Drosophila melanogaster: one gene and its partners. The protein of the gene in region 3 interacts with the protein of the main gene of each other region in a pairwise test. Each region holds a gene or a part of one and is shown on either strand. Other genes may lie near its edges.

Region 1 (4,994 bases), 8.0 Mb from region 3:
TCTGTTGTTGAAAACGTTCAAGTATCTGGGGTTGACGGGCCCACTAAAAATACAGGTTTGCAATCAGCTCTTCTTGGCGTATGCTCTTCGCTAATCAAATTAGGTTTTTTGTTAAATTATTGCTGTCAGAACATTTGGTTATTTCACAATTTTGCATGAGTCAGTATCTGCCTTTGGTTTTTATGCCAACATCATTTGCGAATTATTCAAGTGTTTGCAATTAATGTTGTTATAGCACAAAAATGTCATTAACCCATTAAGTGATTTTCGATTAGCTAAATAAAAACAATTTTTTATGTTGAAACACAAATTTTTAATTTAATTTAATAATTCATTTTTCTTGATGTTGCTTATGTCCAAAAAAATAAACCCAAACGTATTTATAAGCAAGCGAAATAAATGAAGGTTACTCATTAATAAAATCTCTGTCGATCTAAAGGCCTACAATAAGCCATTGTCAAAACATGTAAATGAGTATTTAAAAACAAAAACTGTTTTGTGTTTGTTATACTAATACGTTCAAATAATTTATTTTAATTTTTAGTCGAGGAACTAAAGTAACAGCCTTAGAAGAAGCCTCCTTGTTGCTGCTGCTGCTGCTGCTCGATTCCTCCAAATCCGCCGAATCCACCGAAGCTTTCCTGCTGCTGTTGCTGTTCTCCGAAGCCTCCGAAACCGCCGAATCCTTCTTGCTGCTGCTGTTGGCCACCGAATCCTCCGAATCCACCGAATCCTCCATATCCGAATTGAGGAAGCGCGGAAGCAACGGCGATAAGGGCCACAAAAACGATCACCTGAATGGCCGTTTATTATTTTTATAAAGTCCTTAATCCCTGCGAGGTGTAGCTCTGGTGGCCAAACTTACCAAGAATTTCATATTGAATTTGAAAATGAATTCAATTTGTACTAATATCCCAGAAGATGAGGATGCTTCGATGTTGCACTCGATACTGTGCCCTTTCTGTCACGTCTTTCTCTATTTATACGATTTTTTTGAATTCATATAATGTTTGAATTTCGGAGGTTCTTTACCCGCACTGAAATAAAAACTTGTCCCAGACACTGGACCAGACGTGGGGGCTTTCCTCACAGGTGACCAGCGTTTCTCTTCCAATCCGGTTTTGAATTTGTTGTGGTTATTGACCGGTTTCCATTTTTTTTTAGGGGAACAGGCGCCAGGTGCGTGGCTTTTGATATGAATTTTAATAGTTTGCCAATTTATATTTAAATAGTATTTTTACTGAATTTATGACTAAGCTATTCAGTTTCTAGAGGCACGTTTCCAAGAATCAATATATTGAACCCAAACTAGACGTTGTTGATGCTACTTGACGTTGTTGATGATGCCTTTGTTTCTGGGGTTCTCAAAACAAATTTGCTTCCTTACTCTAATGTTTACCATAGAATCACATTAATGTGTTACGTGTATATATAATTATTGAATCTTACTGAGCTGGACATTTGAACAAATCACCCCTTCCAATTGCCACATTTATATCCGGGCAAAAGTAAATGCAAATGAGCGTAAAAAAAACATATTTTTTTCAATTCGGTTACATTTCGTTGAGATAAACAAATTCCATTGACATAATCAAAAGAAACTTTGTTGTTTTCTTATTTCGTTGGCGTTCACTTCAAGAGCGGTCCAAACGAAGCGAACCAAGCTCACTCAATAGATAAGTGTCTCGATGGGGAATCACCTGCAGCGAATGGGGAATACTGGCGACCGGAGACCGGAGACCCTGGAAATTTTACCGTACCTCGACGAGGGTGAAGTGAAATTGCATTTGGTGTGCGGCGCCAGCGGCAATCGAGTTTGGCAATACGTGTTGCCTTTAACTTGGCTCTTAACCCTGCCATCCGAAAAGAGGGTGATGCGAAAGACTGCGACGACGAAGACGGTGCCTTTTGGCATACTTCAGTGGAGCGCATAAAACCCTAAATGAATTTATTTGGCTCATTTAAAGCAGCTAATTTATTTTTATTTCATCGAATTTGTGTTTAGTCGGGCACCACAAGTCCCTCTTCCCGGTTGGCAAGTAAGCTGTTTAGTGTGGGTACTAGTGACTTTATCCGTTTAATGTTCAAGTAACTTACAACGCAAACTCGCTCAACTTAACTTAAATCAAAGTAAACCCTCTACTTCAAATAAACCACCGCTTCAAAACTAATCATATAGCCGTTGCTTTTTGGAAATGTGCAGTAATTTTGGTAAAATGTCTAATGAACCCTTTTCGGGAGGCCTAGGCCCTTAAAATTGCAGAGCTCCGGGGAAAACACTCTGGGCCAACGTCTGCGTCGCGTGTCAAAGTTGCAACATTCAACATTCAACGCTCTTTGACTCCTTTGATGGTGGCCCAACACGACACCCAAAGCCGTGCACTGAAATTTGTTCAAATTCATTTCAATTACCGTCAATTTTCAATAATTTTGTTCAAATTATATTCCATTAGGTTCCATAAGTTCAAAAAAAAAACACTTTGCATAAACATAATTAGCCTTTTGCTTACAACGCAACATTTTTGGGACATTCTTTGCTCTTTTAAACTTTAATCGAGCTGAATTTATAATTAAATATTTGCGTCACCGATAGGTAAACAACAAACTGTTGACTACGTTAGTTTCTTGATTTACGTTAAGTTGGTATTGGCGAATGAAAGAAAGGTTAAATAAAATAGTAAAAAAAAAACATTTAAACTATTTAAGATACACATTCTTCGTTATATATAGTTCAGTAGTACCCTACGTTTCCAACCAAGCTGTTTTTTTTTTGATATAACTACGTTTAATTTTAAACTTTTGGCACTAGTAACTTGGCTTGACTTCTTTGGCACCCCCGTGCGACGCAATGTCTTAGGTTATTTGGGTGGCTAGCAATGCATTAGCCCAGTCAGAATGTTATGCCCCACCTGCAGGTGGGTGCAAATTCCTGGAGCTGAATATGTGGGGTGGCGTGTGGGTGGTTCCATTTCCATCCATATGAATTTCACATGCTTAAGCCGCAAACTTATGTGCGCGCACAGCTTGAAATCCAAGCTCACGTAAACTCAACTGGAAACTAAGCCCGAAAGAAATGGTATTCCGAAGAGGAAGATGTCGGCTCTTCCGTATCTGGTGCCGGGAACTTTCGCCAACATGTTAGCAGGGGCTTAGGACTTAGAACTCGACACTCAACAATTTTTGAGCCAAGTCAATGAGCAATTGACTGCCAACGCACCGCCGCCACCTGTCCATATATAGATATGGCAGGAACCTGCATATATTCGTGAAAACTTCCTTGCACTCTGCGGGCATCTGCATATTTTTGCGCAAATATGTTTTAATATGGGTTAGAAAAGTTTCCCACTGCACTCGCATCGCTTCGAAGGGCGGCGAAGTTTTCTTTATTGCCTTTTGGCCCGCTTTTTGCCCTCACCGCGTTTTTTTTTTTATACTAAGTGCACTTCCGGCTGGAACGCGAAGAAAACTGAATTTTACTTACAAAACCAAACTTGGAAGAGATTTTTGTAGGCTTTGACTTCATATTCATAATCCCAATCAGGAGTGGCATTCCCTGACCCCAGCTAATTTTAGGCACATTAAAACCAAAAGAGCCCCAAAAAAAGGGCATTAAATCCGTAAATGAACCAGTTAATAATACTAATAATTATGCCTTGTAAAACTTTTTATTTATCTATGCAGTTCATTACAGTCGTGCAATAACCTTGCTTAATCCTTGGTAAGAATTGATTAAAAACTTAGCAACTTAATTATTTTGCAGCTAATTTGTGACTTAAACAGTAATTTCGAATAATTAGTAATGCCGTGCAATTTAAATTGGGAAAAATAGCATGTAAGTTTCATTGTAATATAAGGACAAGACATTTTAAAATGAATTTCGGTACTTCATTTGTGCCACAGTGTCCTCGTCCTACTCGCTAATTGTATTTCTTCACCTGAGCAAACTTTGGCCTTTAATCCCTTCGCCCTGCGACCAACAAAAGCGGCCCGCACTTTGGGCCTCACTCGAAGATTATGTCGCCTTGGATTCGCTTAAGTTGATCCCGAGTAGTTTGCAGTTGGGTAACCAAGTGAAGATGCATCTGCGGCCGAGGAACGTGAAGAAGATGCAGACGAGGGGCTCTTAAAAGTTTGGTTTTAATTAAAGGAAATTTGCGTGCGTGGCACTTGATTTGTAGTTTTCCAGCACTTCCGTGTGTGCGGGCATTTTCCACCTAGGCACCACCCTAAAACCCCATAAAAAATATAAATATAATTGAAATTCTAAATTGCAATTGCCGCAAGTGCTCCTCCATTTGCAGATGCCAAGTTTCCGAGTTGCCAAGATGCTCCGATGCTGCAAATGCTGCAAATGCGGGCCTTCTCCGGCCTCAGTTCTGGGCAATTTCTTGTACCCGCTCGTAATTAGAAGCAAATGCAAATTTACACTTTGAGTGTGTCGGTGATGACGGAAGTCATTGGTAAAACCTGAAGCTGTGGGCGGGCAGAAAGTTGGCTCTGCCGTTGGAGTACTTCGGTTTCCACTGTTCGTTGCTGTGCCGGTGCAGATATAATGAGAAAAGTTTCAGGTAATGCAAGGACTCTGCCAAGGATGAAGGACTATTGGTTAAATCTATTCCAGTACAAACATCCTTATCATAAGCTTGTTTTAAATAACTGATTTGCGAAAGGTAGCTTCGAATAATTCATTACTCCACCTCACTAGTGTATTTATATCTTACCCATATAATTCATTTCACAATCATCACAGTTTATCAATGGCAAATAACAATACTTTTTTGCCACATCCTAATTTGCGTCACAAAATATTTTCTGATATCAGAGTTAAGATTATTAACACATAGTAAATCATATCTCATTAGATCAAATATTTCCCAAACCATCCTCTTGATTTAAATAATAATCACATTGACATCCATGAGCGCACCTCAGCGTTCGAGTTTATTTCCATACCAATCCATCTCGTTCTATACAAATGCACCTCATTCATGGCA
Region 2 (6,531 bases), on a different chromosome or scaffold from region 3:
GCCAGGCGCTGAAACACAGATTTTGGTCAAGTAAATGGAGTTCCAAATTCCGACTGGTCCGAATGTCCACTTACCGGCACTTTTATGGTCGCGTTCTCATCGATGGTGTTCAGAGGTTTCTTTGAGCGTTTTTTAAATTGTTTATACATAGTACTGGAAAGCTTTATAAGCTTCAATCTTCAATCTTAAATCACAAAATAATAAAAACAAAACAATTTAATGGCGCGTATGCAGGTGCAGTGTGACCGAGCATTGACATCAGTTTTTATCGATAGCCGCGGTGGTCGAGGTTCGTGAATTCGCTAAGCGCAATAACGAATATCGTAACAATTCTTATACAAATTTTACGATTTTCAAATGATTATAAAAATTAACTAATAATTCAACTCTTATAGAAATACTTATTTTTTTTTAACATTACTAATTAAAATCTAACAAAATAAATGAAGAAACGACCTTTAGAGCACTGTGTGTAGAAGTCTAAATAAAAATCCACTTTCGTCAATTCAAATTTTTATTGAAACATAATCTACATAATTCGTACAAAACTATTATTGTATTTTCTTTTTTTTAGGTTTACATAACATTCAATCATACGTAATGACTATAAAATGTTCCTTAATTTTATGATCGATACGGAAGCATGATCCATAAATTGATAATCGTATATGTAAATAAGATGATTATGAGCTTATTTGTTAATTTAAAGCCTTTCGATTTTAATTATTTAACTCGGGTGCTAGATGTCTCTGATAATTAGATAAATATTTCCTAGTATCGATTTTCAACTCTTAAAAGTGCAAAAACTCTATTGTGCCATACATTTTTAAATGTATATAAATACGCTTTATAAAAAGGAAGTACAACATATGTATGTCTTGAAGTGATTATGCCAGAAATTGACTTATTCCGGGGCCATTTAGACCCTTCACTACCTAGTTCATAGAAAATCACTAATTTGGCGTTGTTTTCAGTATTGCTATTGAGTATATATAATGATGAACATGATGCCGATTCTATCACACCAATGCAGTCCAAAGCGAAATTTGCGATTCTTTCACAATACTGTGCTAACGGAAACTCAACTCAGTGTCTTCCGGTTATTGCTTTTCATATTTCTAGATAGTAATAAACTATTGTTTTTTCGCTCGTCGTCTCTTGAAGCCCGTCATTTGCTTGAGCAGCTGTGAGTTTTCGTCATCCAGATCCATATTTGGCTCCCAGAGCCGCAGTCGTTTGGGTATATAGATGAGGCCCAGTAGAGTTATAGCTAAAAAGGCGAAAGATTCAATTTACTAAATGGTTCGGGGTGTTACAAAAAAGATATAATTTGTTATTACTGAATTTTAGTTGTGTTTACTTACAATTTAGCACACACGGGAAGATCACGTAGAAGTTAATGGTGCTGGAGCGAAAGTAGAGTGCCTCGGTGGCATAGAAGACCATGGTGAGGGCCAATGAGCAGCCGCCCATGCTGACCACCCTAAACGTAGGGAAATATCCCCATTAGTGACGATAATCTAACCAGAGGATATATGGGATTCACTTACGGCTTGTAGTGAATGTAGAGGGTGCAGTGGACGAGAGCGATGGCCTTCAGCAGGCAGTACATCCCGATGATCCGCGATATGGTGTAGTCCCCTGTGAAAGAACCCATCAAATGCGACTCCAGCAGCTCAATCCATCCCCACTTACCCTCTATGAACTGGGTGTCGCTGTGATCGCCCAGGAAGCTGCGTCTTTCTATGTAGCTCCTAAAGGCCGTGCCCAGGTCCATGAAGGCCACGAATGCTATCCATCCCCGGAAGGCGTACAGCAATCGCTCGCGGGGTCGTCCGCCAGACTGCATGGCAGCCCTACAAGTAAATTTTCTGTGTTATTTAATATCCATTCTCCCTTTAAAGGAAAATAATTTAATCTAAGGAATGGGTTTACCAATTGGTCTAATGTCCAACACAACTTGAAGACTTTATTACACATATCAGGGTTATATATTTAGAAAATTATTTGAAATTTTGACAAAATGGTCATTATACTGCAGAAAACTTGTAATAGAATGTACAATGTAACAATTCGTCGTAAGGTTTTTTTATGCCTACTCGTATTCGTGTAACGAATGTTTTAAGATATAAGAAAAACTCATTAAGAACCTTAGCCAGAAAATATACAAATTTAGCTCAGGTCATAGTATCATTATGCTTAAAGCAGACCGACCCAGTCTAGATTATGATGATATAATAAGAGAACCAACTATGTACATATTTCGGTATTACAAAGCCATTAGAATAAACGCGATACTATTGCGTGTGCATAATGAGGTGCTTTTGTTTAAAGGCTTTTAGCACAAGCATGAACTCCAAGCGAGCAGCCGAGTCCAATGGCATCGGTGGCAACCGGCTTATCTTCCCCTGAGAATCGCATCGCACTCGGAAGTCCCAGCACATGCCACCACCCACCCCACTCCACTTCACTCCGCAGGTCTGGGCAAAATCGATATTATGGCACACTATGCTGCTGTGCTATTTGCGCAATGCAAATATGCGGAGCGTAATTCCCGGCTGCACGCGACCACGTGGAGCGCTTATGGTGGATCCACCATTAGTCCCGGTTGTTTATTTCCAAGCAACATCGCCGACTGGGTCGTCCGAGCAACGCGATTTATGGGCCCCGGACCAACCGGCTAGCCACTATCAGGCGGTTCACAATAAATGCACCACTGGCTATGTGTGTATTTGATTTCGGGAGCACTCCTCAATTCACTCACATTTTGCAAAGATTCCCGTGTTAATCAGCAGTACCGCGATCCGTCCCACCCGGCGTATGCGTAATATTTGTTTGCAGCACTGCCACTGGCACTCTTGTGTCCCTCAAAAACCTATTTTATGCAGCAGCGATTGTTTATTTCATATATGTGTATTTTCGCCGTTCAGCTGTAAACGCGACCGATTCTCGTACCGCCGCCTGCAACGCCTTGCCAGCCACTAAAAGTCTAGAATGGGAAAGTTTCGTGCGAGGACAGGCAGCTTTTATGCTTTCGGAGCTTTGGTTCTTGTTGATTGGTTCGTATCGCACCGGGAATACCTGGAAAAAGTGGTCTAAGTCCTCAATTAATATAGTATGATTATGATTAAAAAAAATATATTCACAAGTTGGCCATTACTGACTTAAAAAAAAAGTGTGGCTTGCATTTTTAGCATCATTTTATTTAGCAAAGTACAAAAGTTGTAAACTGTGTTCAATCGGAATTGCTATATGTATAGGCAACATGTATAAAAGATCAACAATTTGTCAAGTTCTATGGCTCTCTTGGGATGAAACTGGTCTAGTCTGGTCTAGTCCTTGCCAATGTTGGCCTCAGTCTTGCGGTACTCGGCCCAGTCGACAAATCCATCGTTGTTCAGGTCCATGGACTTCAGCACATAGTCAATGGTGTCCTCCAGAGCCTTGTCCGTGTACACAGATCCGGATTTGTGATCATCGGGCTGCTGCGCTTGGCCCTCGGCGTGGCCTTCCTGGTGTGCCTCGGCTGGTTTTTCTCCACTATCCTTGACTAGAAAGGTAATGTACACTTTAAGGCTCCGCTGGGCATGGTTAACTTGTTAGCTAAGCTCACCCGAAACCGGAAAATGTGTTCTAGTGTCTACAATTCTACTTGATAGAGGGATTACATGTGGTGGTCGCGTGTGATTTGAAGTTGACTTTATTCGCTAATTCGGCTTTACTTACAGAGATTTGCATGCGTCTATATAGTAGGTTTCAGTTTAAAAAGACGGGGTTTTCTTCGCTTATTTTTTTGCATAGTTTCATTTTCTTTTTGTACAAAACAAACGTTTACACAATCAGTCTGTTTTTTTTGCTGCTCTAAAGTCGCGCTTAAAAATTAGTTCATATCGAAAAGTAACTAAAATTATGACAATCGAAAACAAAACGAAACAAGGCGGCTGGAATTGCACAACCCACTCGAGAGATTCGTGAGAAATAATATTCGAAAATGCGAATCTTTTGAAAAAAGAGTTCTCAGAAGGACGTTTAGTTACAATTTGTTCAATGAAGTTCTCCGATTGGAATGCTTGCAGCATGTTAAGTAAATTTCATTCAAATTTATCTAAGAAGTGCGCTAAAATCGTCGACGAGGTCAACGTAATTTCAGGGTGTTTTGGGCAGAAACAGGAGTATGTGTTGCACGTCACAGAGCGCGGGACGAGGACATGGTTTTATGTATGTAAACTGAACGCATCTGGGTGACTACTAATGAACCGGCTGCTGCTGCTGCTGCTGTTGCTGTTCGTGCGGCTGCTGTTGTTGCTGCTGCTGCTGCTGCTGCTTCTCGGCGGCCTTTTGCTGCGCCTTAATGAACTCCGGATAGTCGATGTAGCCGTCGCGTGAGGTGTCGTCCATCTGCAGGATGGGATCAATGAGGGCCACCAGCTCCTCGTCGGAGAAAACCTTCTCCTCCACATGCGGCTTCTCACCGTTCGGCTGCTCCTTGCTGCCTTGCTCTGCATGGCAATGATTTGTTATGGCGGATGCGAGATGGATTAGCATGAGATTCGAGCATGACCACAACCATAACCGGAAACAGCCCAGTTTTATTACGCATATGCAAAGAAGTAGAACAGAATAGTGGGTCAAACAAAACGAAATACAGAAACCACAAACGCAACTCTAACCAGCGAGCCAGATTAAAAAGCAGTAGCTATCTTACCGTGCCAATGGATCAGCGATTTGATCAGCTCGCAGCCGTCCAACTTGTTGTTGTTGTCCGAGTCGTGCATCTTGAAGTAGTGGAACTGCAGCTCAGCCTCGGACATCTTGCTCGTATCGATTGGCACTTGCATGTGCTCCTGGATGTGACTGAAATTGAAAGAGTAAGGTTTGGTATTAGATCCAACTGATCGTTGATTTGGTTGAAGAAATAGATCAGCCCAGAAATATTATGTAAGTACTATGTCTAATTTACTTTTAACATGGAACTTTTGATATATAATTTCTTTAAATGCGAATGGAAACATTTGCTGTATGAAAATGTCACTATGCTTAATTTATAGACTTTTTTCCTAATTAAGCCTTAGGTTTGCGGTACAACAAAATACCTCCCTTCACTTTTATGATTTATTTATGACATTTTTACTCGTATACCCTAAAGCTCCATTGATGGATAATGATTGCCAGTGGCAGTGATAAGATAGACGGGCACTTACGCGCGCTCCTGCTGAATGTTGCCGGTGTTTAGGACTTGCTGCGGTTGCCCATGGTGGTGGCCACCTGCCTGCTGGTGGTGCCCCTGCTGCGGCTGTTGCTGTTGCTGCATCGTCGGTTGCTGGTGGATTGGTTGATGTTGCTGCTGCTGCTGCTGCACAGGAACTTGCTGATATTGGACCGGTGCCTGCTGTTGCACGGGAACTTGAACCTGTTCGTATTGCTGGAAGTCGGAGGCCTACTGGTTAATTGCTTGCCATTCGGAAATGCGCATTTGCACTCACGTATTGCTGGGGCGGCACACCGGGTGCTGAGTGGACCTGTTGCTGGTACTGCGGCTGGTGGTGCTGCGGTGGTGGCGGTGGGTGGTGCTGCGGCACCTGCTGCGGCACTTGTTGCTGCAATATGTGTGGGTTAATTCCCTCATTGGCGAATGGGGGTGCTTCAAATCACTCACATAGTGCTGCGGATTCACTCCGGGAGCGACGCGCTGTCCGCTGGCCAATCCAATCAGGATTAGGGGCAGCAGCAGCTGAACTGCTGGCAATTCCGTGACGCGCATCTGCATGGAAGTGCTGGATTCTGGCGGGGATCGGATCGGATCGGTTTGGGATCTATATCGCTTCTGGTGGCTCTGTAATCACCACGTCGCAAAGACGAAACACACACGTACACAAATCGCTTCTTCTTCGCCGGTGGACATTCGCAGCGAGCGACAGCTGATTCTCAGGTAAGTGCGGACATTCGCCACGAAACGTGTGAGCGGCATGACAACACTGCGCGCCTGGGTTAGGGGTATGCGCGTAGATAATATTATCATGCTTCAAACCGAAAAAAAAAATCATAAAAACAAACTTGATGCTTCCATTTAACAACTCAAAATTTAATCAATCTAATATGTGTACGATTTCACCGTTAGGGGTTTAGTATTAGTACCCCGCTAATATTTAGCTCAAGGAACACCCCAAATGCAGTTGGGCATAATTAGGGTGTTTTAAAGATTGAAGCTACGGTCTACCGTGGACACCCTGTAAAACTTCTCTTCGTTTTCAACCAGCAAATTGACTGGTTCAGCGCTGCTCAAAATACAAAGATTTGAATATCTCGACCAGGGAAATTGCTAAATAATGGTAAGAATGCTGTTGCCGAACAATCCGCAACTACTGCGAGTCAATAGTAGTGCTTGCATTGCCCTTGCCAACACGAAATACCGTGCACGTGCGATGGCCGTTCAACCTAACCCCACTTAATCGATGTTTCCGCCAAATCCACAGGCTGCTGCACCCAAGGATATTGAGAAGCCCCATGTCGGCGATTCTGCCTCTGTGCACC
Region 3 (8,049 bases):
ATATTCGTTCTGGCCATTAATGATTTACCCTAAACCAAAGAGTATCAGGCGGCAATTTATCGCTGTACGTTGGAACTCCCTGAGGCTCCACCTGCATGTGGACCAGGGTGGCGGAGGTGCCGGCATATCGTATAATTGCACCCACAATCAAGCCTGAAATGGGGTAAACACATTAGTTTTGGCTATTGCTGCAGTTGGGATCGAAAATAAGTTGAATTGTAATGTAATTTTACCGGGTCTTAAATGAAATAAAGCTAGTATGACTGTTTTCTGGACTGACCTATCGCAAAGCAAGGGTGTGACTAATAGCCGCTTAGAAAAATGCTTAGTCAAGCCATATCAAGCCTTATCAACTAAGCAACCACTCAACAGGTTCATAATTCGCAGACGGAATCAGTGTTTTATGTTCACGCCGATAAACAAATTTGTGGGGATGATTAATCGTGGTGCGCATAACAAAATGCTTTCACTGGCCCTGCCGGACGAATGCTAAATAATCTTTTCCAGTTTACACCAGAGCTGGGCTTTGTCGACGCCCAGGCCAACCAGTTTTATTGAATTGTTTCATTAGCTTCAATTAGTCGAACGAAATCTTGTTTGCTCTTTTATTGCTGCACATAAACGAAATTGTTAGAATAACAAAGTACTCGGCAGATTGCCGCGATCATGAACGAGCAGTGAAAATACATTCGGTCGGAAAACCCCAATGATATTGACTGACTAAGCAAGTCAAGGTCTCGTATACAATATCTTTGCCGCAATGCATTAGCTCTGCTGTCGTTGCGTGCAGGTTCTTTCACGGATATTGATGTTACTTCTACCCCGGGGTGGCTTTTACTGCCTCCCATATGTGCGCACGTAATGTCACGGTTGGCGTGGACAAAGGCGTAATTCGAAATTGGTGACAACAAAGAGGTAGCAATGAATGTGGCAGGTGACCGATAATCAAGTCTTTCGAGCTAAGGGAAACATGGCCAAAAGGGAAAGCTGCCCGCGTTACCAACGTACCGTAGATGACGGCCAATCCCGTCTCGTGGAGCCAGGAGACGCGATGGTGTTTGAAAAGCCAAATTGTGAGCACTGTGAGCGCCAGCAGGAACACGAAGACTAGAAGGTCCAGGCTCTGGATGCGGTGATTGAGCGTGGCCTTGGCGTCCAGAGCGATGTCAGTGTCCGTGGCGCTGCATCCAGGCGCGAGGACGCACAATGCAAATCCGACTATGAGCAGCATGCTGCTCCGCCAGCACTGTAGCTTCCAGAATGTCTGCGACCTTGGGTGACTTCCTGCGTCCCCATGAATACGGTGGGGCGATGTCATCTCTACCTCGGGGTCCACATCGCCGTGGGACATACTTTCTTCAGTTTCTTCCTGCGCCTGCAGCCGAAATCGATTTTCGCGTTATGTTTCACGGGTTGGGGGGGTGGTGGTGGAGGTGATGGTGCTAGAAGCGCGGAGCAGGACGACCACGCTCAGGCGGCGCCAGGGGAGTGTGTGGACCTCCTTTCGCTTGGATATTGAATGTGCCGCACAGCCGTTACATAAAATTAAAGGGTCCAAAAAGAGCTTTCAAAATTTCACAGCAGCGCACTCCGCTAAAAAAACAGTTTGTTCGTTCATATGGAAACAACCGTATGCGACTGCAGTGTGACCGCACGCTAGCACGCGAAAAAATATTGCCTTTGAACAGGAGCGGTTCAGTAAAGATATTTGTATTCAATATAATAGTTATGTAAAACTAAAACTTGCAATAATCCCAAACTATTTTCCAAGTAAAAACTATTATTCCGGGAATTGCGTCAAATTAGCCTTTTCATTTATTAATTTTCTTTCCCGTCGTCTAGTACTAGTCCCGCCGACCAGTCTCTCCGTGTCCCACCGACATAGTTAGATCTGTAAGTTCGTATCATTGCTATTTTTCACGATTCCTCTATACATTCAAAAAAAAAAAAATAAATAAAAAATTCCCCATGTTTAGAATTCCGCCGTTCCTCCATCGGTAATTATTCCGGGAAAACAGTAAACGGGCAGGTGCAGTTTCCGGTTATCGATAACCGTTACCCTGCCCTAGCCAACAAGAGTATGACCTGACAAAGGCGCCACCTAGCGCTCGTTTCAAAAAGAATGTTAAGTAATTGGCGCTTTAATTCAAATATACATACAAATTATACAAATTACAAACAGTGCGGCCGTGATATTGTGGATATTTATTTGGAAAATAGATATTTAAAGCAACCCAACTATGCCAATGCGTCGGGCGATTTTGAAGTGTTTCCTAAGATATACCGTAGTGAAACGTATGCTCTCGCAAGTTCGCATTATCCAATTTGCATTTCTAGAATAGTGAACTTCTACTCCTTGCGAATTATATAGACCAAACTGAAAGCCAAGCTGCAGAACAATATGGGATAGCTAAGCTTAAGGATTCTGTGGTTGACTAGACGCCTCAAGAAACTCAAGGGCTTGCCAGTTTGTTTTAGGTCCGGATCCGTTTCCTCCTCCATATCGATTTCCGCCTCCGGGCCCGTCAGCGTCTCCCTTTCTTCCGCTTGCTCACTTTCTATCAAGTCTGGAGCTGTTTCAACTTCGCTATTCTCTTCTATTCTGGCCTGCAAAAGTTGGCGCATTAGGTGCACATTGTACTCCGGATCAAATAGTTCATCCAAAGTAACCATCTCGCGACCGTTTTGCACCGACCCATCTAGTGAGGGATGGTCGGCCAGTTCCGGGACCGAGTCAATGCACACAATCTCATCCGCCGTTGGATGAAACATGGGCTCCAATGTTTCAGGGTATTTCTCGAATTGTTCACGAACAAGCCTGTCCTCTTCGGACTCGCTACTTTCATTAATTAACGTTTCGAGTTCCTCCATATCCGATTCGGGTACAGATTTCTCGGATTCTACGTCTGTAGGATCTTGCGGGGTCTCTTGGACGATCTCTGTGTGTTCATCTATTGGCTCTTCGCCCAAATGCTGGACAATTTCGAATTCCTTTAAAGATTCTATTTCCACGGCAGTTTCCTTTATTTCTGGAAATTCCCCTTTCGGTGCAATTTCTTTTTCCACCATCTGTACATTTCCTGGTATAAGTTCTTCGGGTTGTGTTTCAGGAAGTGTTTCCTGCTGAATATCGTTTCCTGTCAGCTGTTCCATATCTAGTCCGGAAGACTCGGCACCATTCTCCACATCAGAGGCTTCATTTTGCAACTGTGTATCCACATCAGTGGCGTCATATTGCACCTGTGTATCCTGGTCAATATCATCGGGCAGTAGATTTTGCATATCTAAATTATTAAAAGCCACATCAGCCTCCATTTCGGCGACGACGCGTTGAAGTTCCTTGAGAGTCTGCTCCTCTGCCAGTCGGAGCTCCAACTCGCTGCTAGTGTCCGGAATCCTGTCGAGCATCGGCTGCAGCATTGGACTCGGTCTGGCCGACAGCGTAGTCTGCTGCTCGTCCGTGGAGCAATCCAAATTGATGCCAGAATCGTCGGCCATCTGTTGACTTTCCATGGAGGAGCGTCGCTTTCTCTCGGGCATCAGTGAACTGTAGATCCGGCTGCTGGCACTGGGTCCCAAGAAAAGTGGAGCCGGAATTTTAGTGGGCCTAACTCCCGAACTGCGAGGCCGCAGCTCACTCTCCGACGAAGATGGGACAACCGCGTCCACATCGTTTTCCATTGATTGACATTCTTCGGAGTTTTTCACATTCTTGTTGTTCTCAGTCCGCTTCAGCTCTTCCTGGGATGGAGTTGCTTGCACATTGCGGCTGGCCATCGTGGCTATTTGGACGCATAAATGAATGAGGTCAGCACAATTTGGTAGAGCACTGTGCTCCAACTTACCCTTTATAAATTTACGCAAGACTGACTGAATTTAACCTGGTTAACTAGTTCGACATCCGTGAAATATTATATCAATGTTTTCAACATGGGTTTTCCCTTATTTCGGTGATCAAAACGTTCCCTAGCGAAAGTGTGTTCGCCTAACTGTGGCAATTGAACTAAATGGATTGACAGGCAATGTCTCCTGATTTCACGTGCAGCCAGGCCAACTTGATTCAGTTCATTTTTGTGTTGGAAAACGCGGCTCCAATGGCCAACTGGATTGGCAACTCATTTATTAACTTAGTGGTAGCATTAATACATAATTTGGTTAGAATTGATGGCAGAAAAGACGTTAATGGCTCTGAGGATTGCGATTCCCCTCAGTCCTGCAACTCCACCTTCGTCTTGAGATAGTCGGACAGATCATTGTAGATCAGCGGCTTCACACGATCTGTTTTGAAAAGCATAGAAAAAAGTTTAGTTCAGTTGAAGTTACCACTTTGTTTCGATTTCCCTTACTATTGCACTTGTACTGCAGGTTGGACCATATAATCATCCTCTGTGAGAAGCAGAACACGCCCAGCCGACCGCCCTTCAGCGTGGAGTCAAACACATTGCCCGAGTCGAAGATCAGGCGGTTACCCTCGTGCATTCTGTGGGTAGAAGGAGAATGAAGACATGGGAACCCTGTCATGGTGCCATCACTCACTGCAGGCGGATGAGGCCGATGGCCGGTCGATGCACCAGGGACCAGCGGTAGGAGGTCCTTTCCTTCCACGCAATGTTCTTCGGATCCTTCCACAGCAGCCTGGCCTCACCGTCGGTGTTTCCCTCGTGCCACAGGCTGTTCCTCATCATTGGGCCCGGACCCTCGGTGCTGTTGACCAGCTTGATCTGGATGCCCGGCGCCGCAGAGGCGGTGAAGGGTCGTGGCTCCCAGTAGGTTTGGGTGCCCTTCTTCCACTGCACCACGTAGTACTTGTAGCTGCTCTGGTAGCTGAACACAAAGCCAGCGTAGTCATCGTCCGTGTCATCGTTGATATAAAAGGTGCCGTCGAAGTCAACGCCTCCGAAGGCGTCCTTGCCCACCGCTAGTCCCGGATCCGAATTGAGGGTCTGGACTATCTCGGTGCCATTGGCGTGTACCACCCAGTTGGGATCCGCTTGCGATAGGCCTTTGGGATCCAGTGGAATGGTTTGAAGAGTGCGAAAGTCAGTGTGATGAATCATCGAGTTGTTCGGGCAGTTGTCCATGCCATTCGGTACACCATCTACGTCCTCATCATCTTCGCAAGAGTCACCCTTGCCATTCCGATTGAAGTCGTCCTGCTTTGGGTTCTTGGCCAGCGGACAGTTGTCCTTGTAGTTGGGTATCCCATCTCCGTCCATGTCGTCATCGCACTCATCGCCCGTTCCATCACCGTCAGTGTCCAGCTGGTCCGAGTTACTGACCATTGGGCAGTTGTCCAGCGAGTTTGGAACTCCATCATCATCCCCGTCGATGTCTCTGTGACAGGCATCGCCTACAAAGTCCATGTCGCGATCCTTTTGGTCGGGATTCGGAAGATTCGGACAGTTATCGCAAGCGTCGCCCACACCATCGTTGTCCACGTCCGACTGACTGGGATTCGGCAGCAGCGGACAGTTGTCTAGCGCATTTGGTATGGAGTCGTTGTCGATATCACCATCGCACTCGTCTCCCAGTCCATCCTCGTCCGTGTCCAACTGCCTGGGATTGTACTTAAGCACGCAGTTGTCGCACACATCGCCCACCTTGTCTCCATCCGAGTCCAGCTGCTCGGTGTTGTAGGCCAGCCAGCAGTTGTCTTGGCTGTTCTGGACATTGTCGCCATCGGCATCGTCGTCGCACCCATCGCCATGTCCATCCAGATCGGCGTCCTCCTGGCCTGAATTAGGCAACTTCGGGCAGTTGTCTCGCTGACAGCGCAGCTCTGGACAACCGATTGCCTGATCTGGCCATCCATCTACGTCGGTATCCCTACCGCAAATCAAACCGTTGCCCGCCCATCCCACATTGCAGTGACACTTGTGGCGGATGTTATCCATCCTAAGGCACACGGCATTGCGGTCACAAACGGTTCCATCCGGACACATGAACACCGAGGATCTGTCTAGGCAGCTGTAGGTGCCATTTGTTACATATCCTTCGTGGCATTGGCATCTGTAGGAACCCTGCGAAAGAAATCTATTACTTTTAAACTATTTTTTTTTAAATTTGTATCGTACTCACAATCTCGTTGATGCAAGTAGAATGCTCCGGGCATCGGAAGAACCCAGTGCGGCACTCATCGACGTCCAGGCACGTTTGCCTGCGATAATCCACGGAGTAGTAGTCGGCGAAGTAGCCATGGGCGTGGGTGCCATCGAAGCCAACGGGACACGGGCTGCACTGGAAGCCAGGACTAAGATTGGTGCACGTCGCCAGCTCGTCGCAAGGATCGTAGAGCAGGCACTCATTCATATCCCGGCAGCTGGTTCCGTTCACCTCGTGGCCCATTGGACACGAGATGCAGTGAAAGTAGGGCGGATAGCCAACCTGGAGGCACTGGGCGCCTTCGTTAAGTTAAAAAGTAATTGCAAAAACGAATTAAGATGATTGCAATGCAATAAAACGAATGGAAACAGGTGAGTTATTCACGAAGCTGCCAACATGTTCACTCACATATGTATGAGTATCTTTATGAGCCATTTTCTTCAAAGAAAACTTTTTCTGTTTAAAAAACGGTTTGAAAAATGACAATTTCGATGTAAGTTTGACAAAAACACTATATGTATATAAGCTTTTGTGCTACTTCGCTTTCTACTTCTATATTGTTTTCCGATTCTTTGCCGATTCATGGACACTGGGTAAAATGATATAGCTTTTCTTTGAAATAAGTTATATCTATTCAGCTGATTCTTTATAATTATCTATAAGATATTTCGAGTTCAACTTCCACTCACCGTTGATATATCTGAATGTATGACCAGAAAATGATAGTGTATAAACATGATGCGATAGAAAGGCATGTGGGTTTGGTTTGGATGATTTCGATGGGTAAATAAATAAAAATTTGTGTGGCCAATGATGGAGTTTATTTATTAAATACCAAAAATTACAGCGTACATTTTGTTATAATAATATTCATAGTTTATTACAATAATTGGGAGATTTCAGGCGGGGCAAGCAAATTTTGTTACACGTTTATAGACTCCACTTTCTGGGCATTTGATTGGGACGTACATATACATATTTAGTTATCTATTCTACAAGAGCTTTTCAATGATATTATCTCACGATTTTCCGCTGGAGCTGCGTCTGCTTTCAAATGATAATTGCTAATACTATGAATTTCCGCTGTTCGCCAATCGGAGAGCTTACAACTTATGACTATTTTATAAAGTAGTAATTCAATATGTGCACTTTCTACGCTCTGTACTTGTTTAGCTTTAGTTGTGTATCATAGCTCAGCCGAAAACGTTGCAATAGTCCCTTCCTCCGCGGATTAGTTCGTAACGACCGAGTATTTTCGGGCGGTGTACTGGCTCTGCCTCTGATAGTGTTGCACATTATGCGAGGGCACTAGAATGTTGCCTGATACAAATGAGAATTGTTGATTAGTAAGTAGGTAGTTTAATGTGTAATGTGTCCCATTCGACTCGTTCAATTAAGTCCACCTACTGGAAGAGCATCGAGCACTTTGTACTTTTGCCGCAAATCAATTAGACAACTTGTCTTATATGGCCCCAACATTCCAGCACGCCCAAAACTCGTTGAATCTCAGTATATCTGTGAGCTCTGATTAACCCTCTTGTTTCACACATTCGCGAGAAGCCCCAAATTAGCCCAGGTACTACAGGTACTCTATAATTTTCGAGGGTTTTTTATTCAATCAGAAGGTTCGGCGAGTCCTCAGAGGTCGAATTAAACTGAAGTGGGCATTAATAAATCAAATAATCGTGTGAATTGAGTACGCTACGATCAAATGGTAGGGCATATAAGTTTCTAAGAGTCTGATTGTAGATCAAAAGTGGTTTTAAGAACACAAAAAGTTACTCTAATCTAAAAAAAAAACTTAAAATCAATTAAAATGTCATATTTTGGAGCAACCATAGGTGTAAAGTCCTCATTTACTAAAGTTCTTGCCCCCAAAAAGATCATGTAAGATGTTAAAATTTAAACCAAACAGTTTAAGAACTTAACATTAACATTTTACCTCTT

Evidence for each region. Proteins that work in one complex are often made in the same cells at the same time.
Region 1: the proteins of CG11327 (region 3) and CG15282 interact in a two-hybrid assay, tested with the Drosophila melanogaster proteins (one large-scale study listed by BioGRID).
Region 2: the proteins of CG11327 (region 3) and CG17270 interact in a two-hybrid assay, tested with the Drosophila melanogaster proteins (one large-scale study listed by BioGRID).

Annotation. Positions count from the first base shown.
Region 1 is NT_033779.5:14,708,625-14,713,618, reverse strand, and holds CG15282 (uncharacterized protein), read right to left. Parts: upstream 1,149-4,994; 5' UTR 1,033-1,148; intron 977-1,032; 5' UTR 878-976; coding exon 866-877; intron 795-865; coding exon 567-794; 3' UTR 501-566; downstream 1-500.
Region 2 is NT_033777.3:20,815,945-20,822,475, forward strand, and holds CG17270 (uncharacterized protein), read right to left. Parts: upstream 2,986-6,531; 5' UTR 2,767-2,985; coding exon 2,765-2,766; intron 1,857-2,764; coding exon 1,696-1,856; intron 1,642-1,695; coding exon 1,551-1,641; intron 1,484-1,550; coding exon 1,365-1,483; intron 1,271-1,364; coding exon 1,134-1,270; 3' UTR 501-1,133; downstream 1-500. Other genes in the region: Fancd2, read right to left, coding at 1-8, 75-149; CG17271 (uncharacterized protein), read right to left, coding at 4,249-4,499, 4,706-4,854, 5,202-5,422, 5,484-5,597, 5,657-5,767; RpS20 (ribosomal protein S20), read left to right, coding at 6,327-6,329, 6,474-6,531.
Region 3 is NT_033779.5:6,682,718-6,690,766, forward strand, and holds CG11327 (uncharacterized protein), read right to left. Parts: upstream 3,996-8,049; 5' UTR 3,846-3,995; intron 3,783-3,845; 5' UTR 3,778-3,782; coding exon 2,350-3,777; 3' UTR 2,125-2,349; downstream 1-2,124. Other genes in the region: Nhe3 (Na[+]/H[+] hydrogen exchanger 3), read right to left, coding at 29-153, 1,009-1,231; Tsp (thrombospondin), read right to left, coding at 4,208-4,278, 4,347-4,480, 4,537-6,020, 6,079-6,401.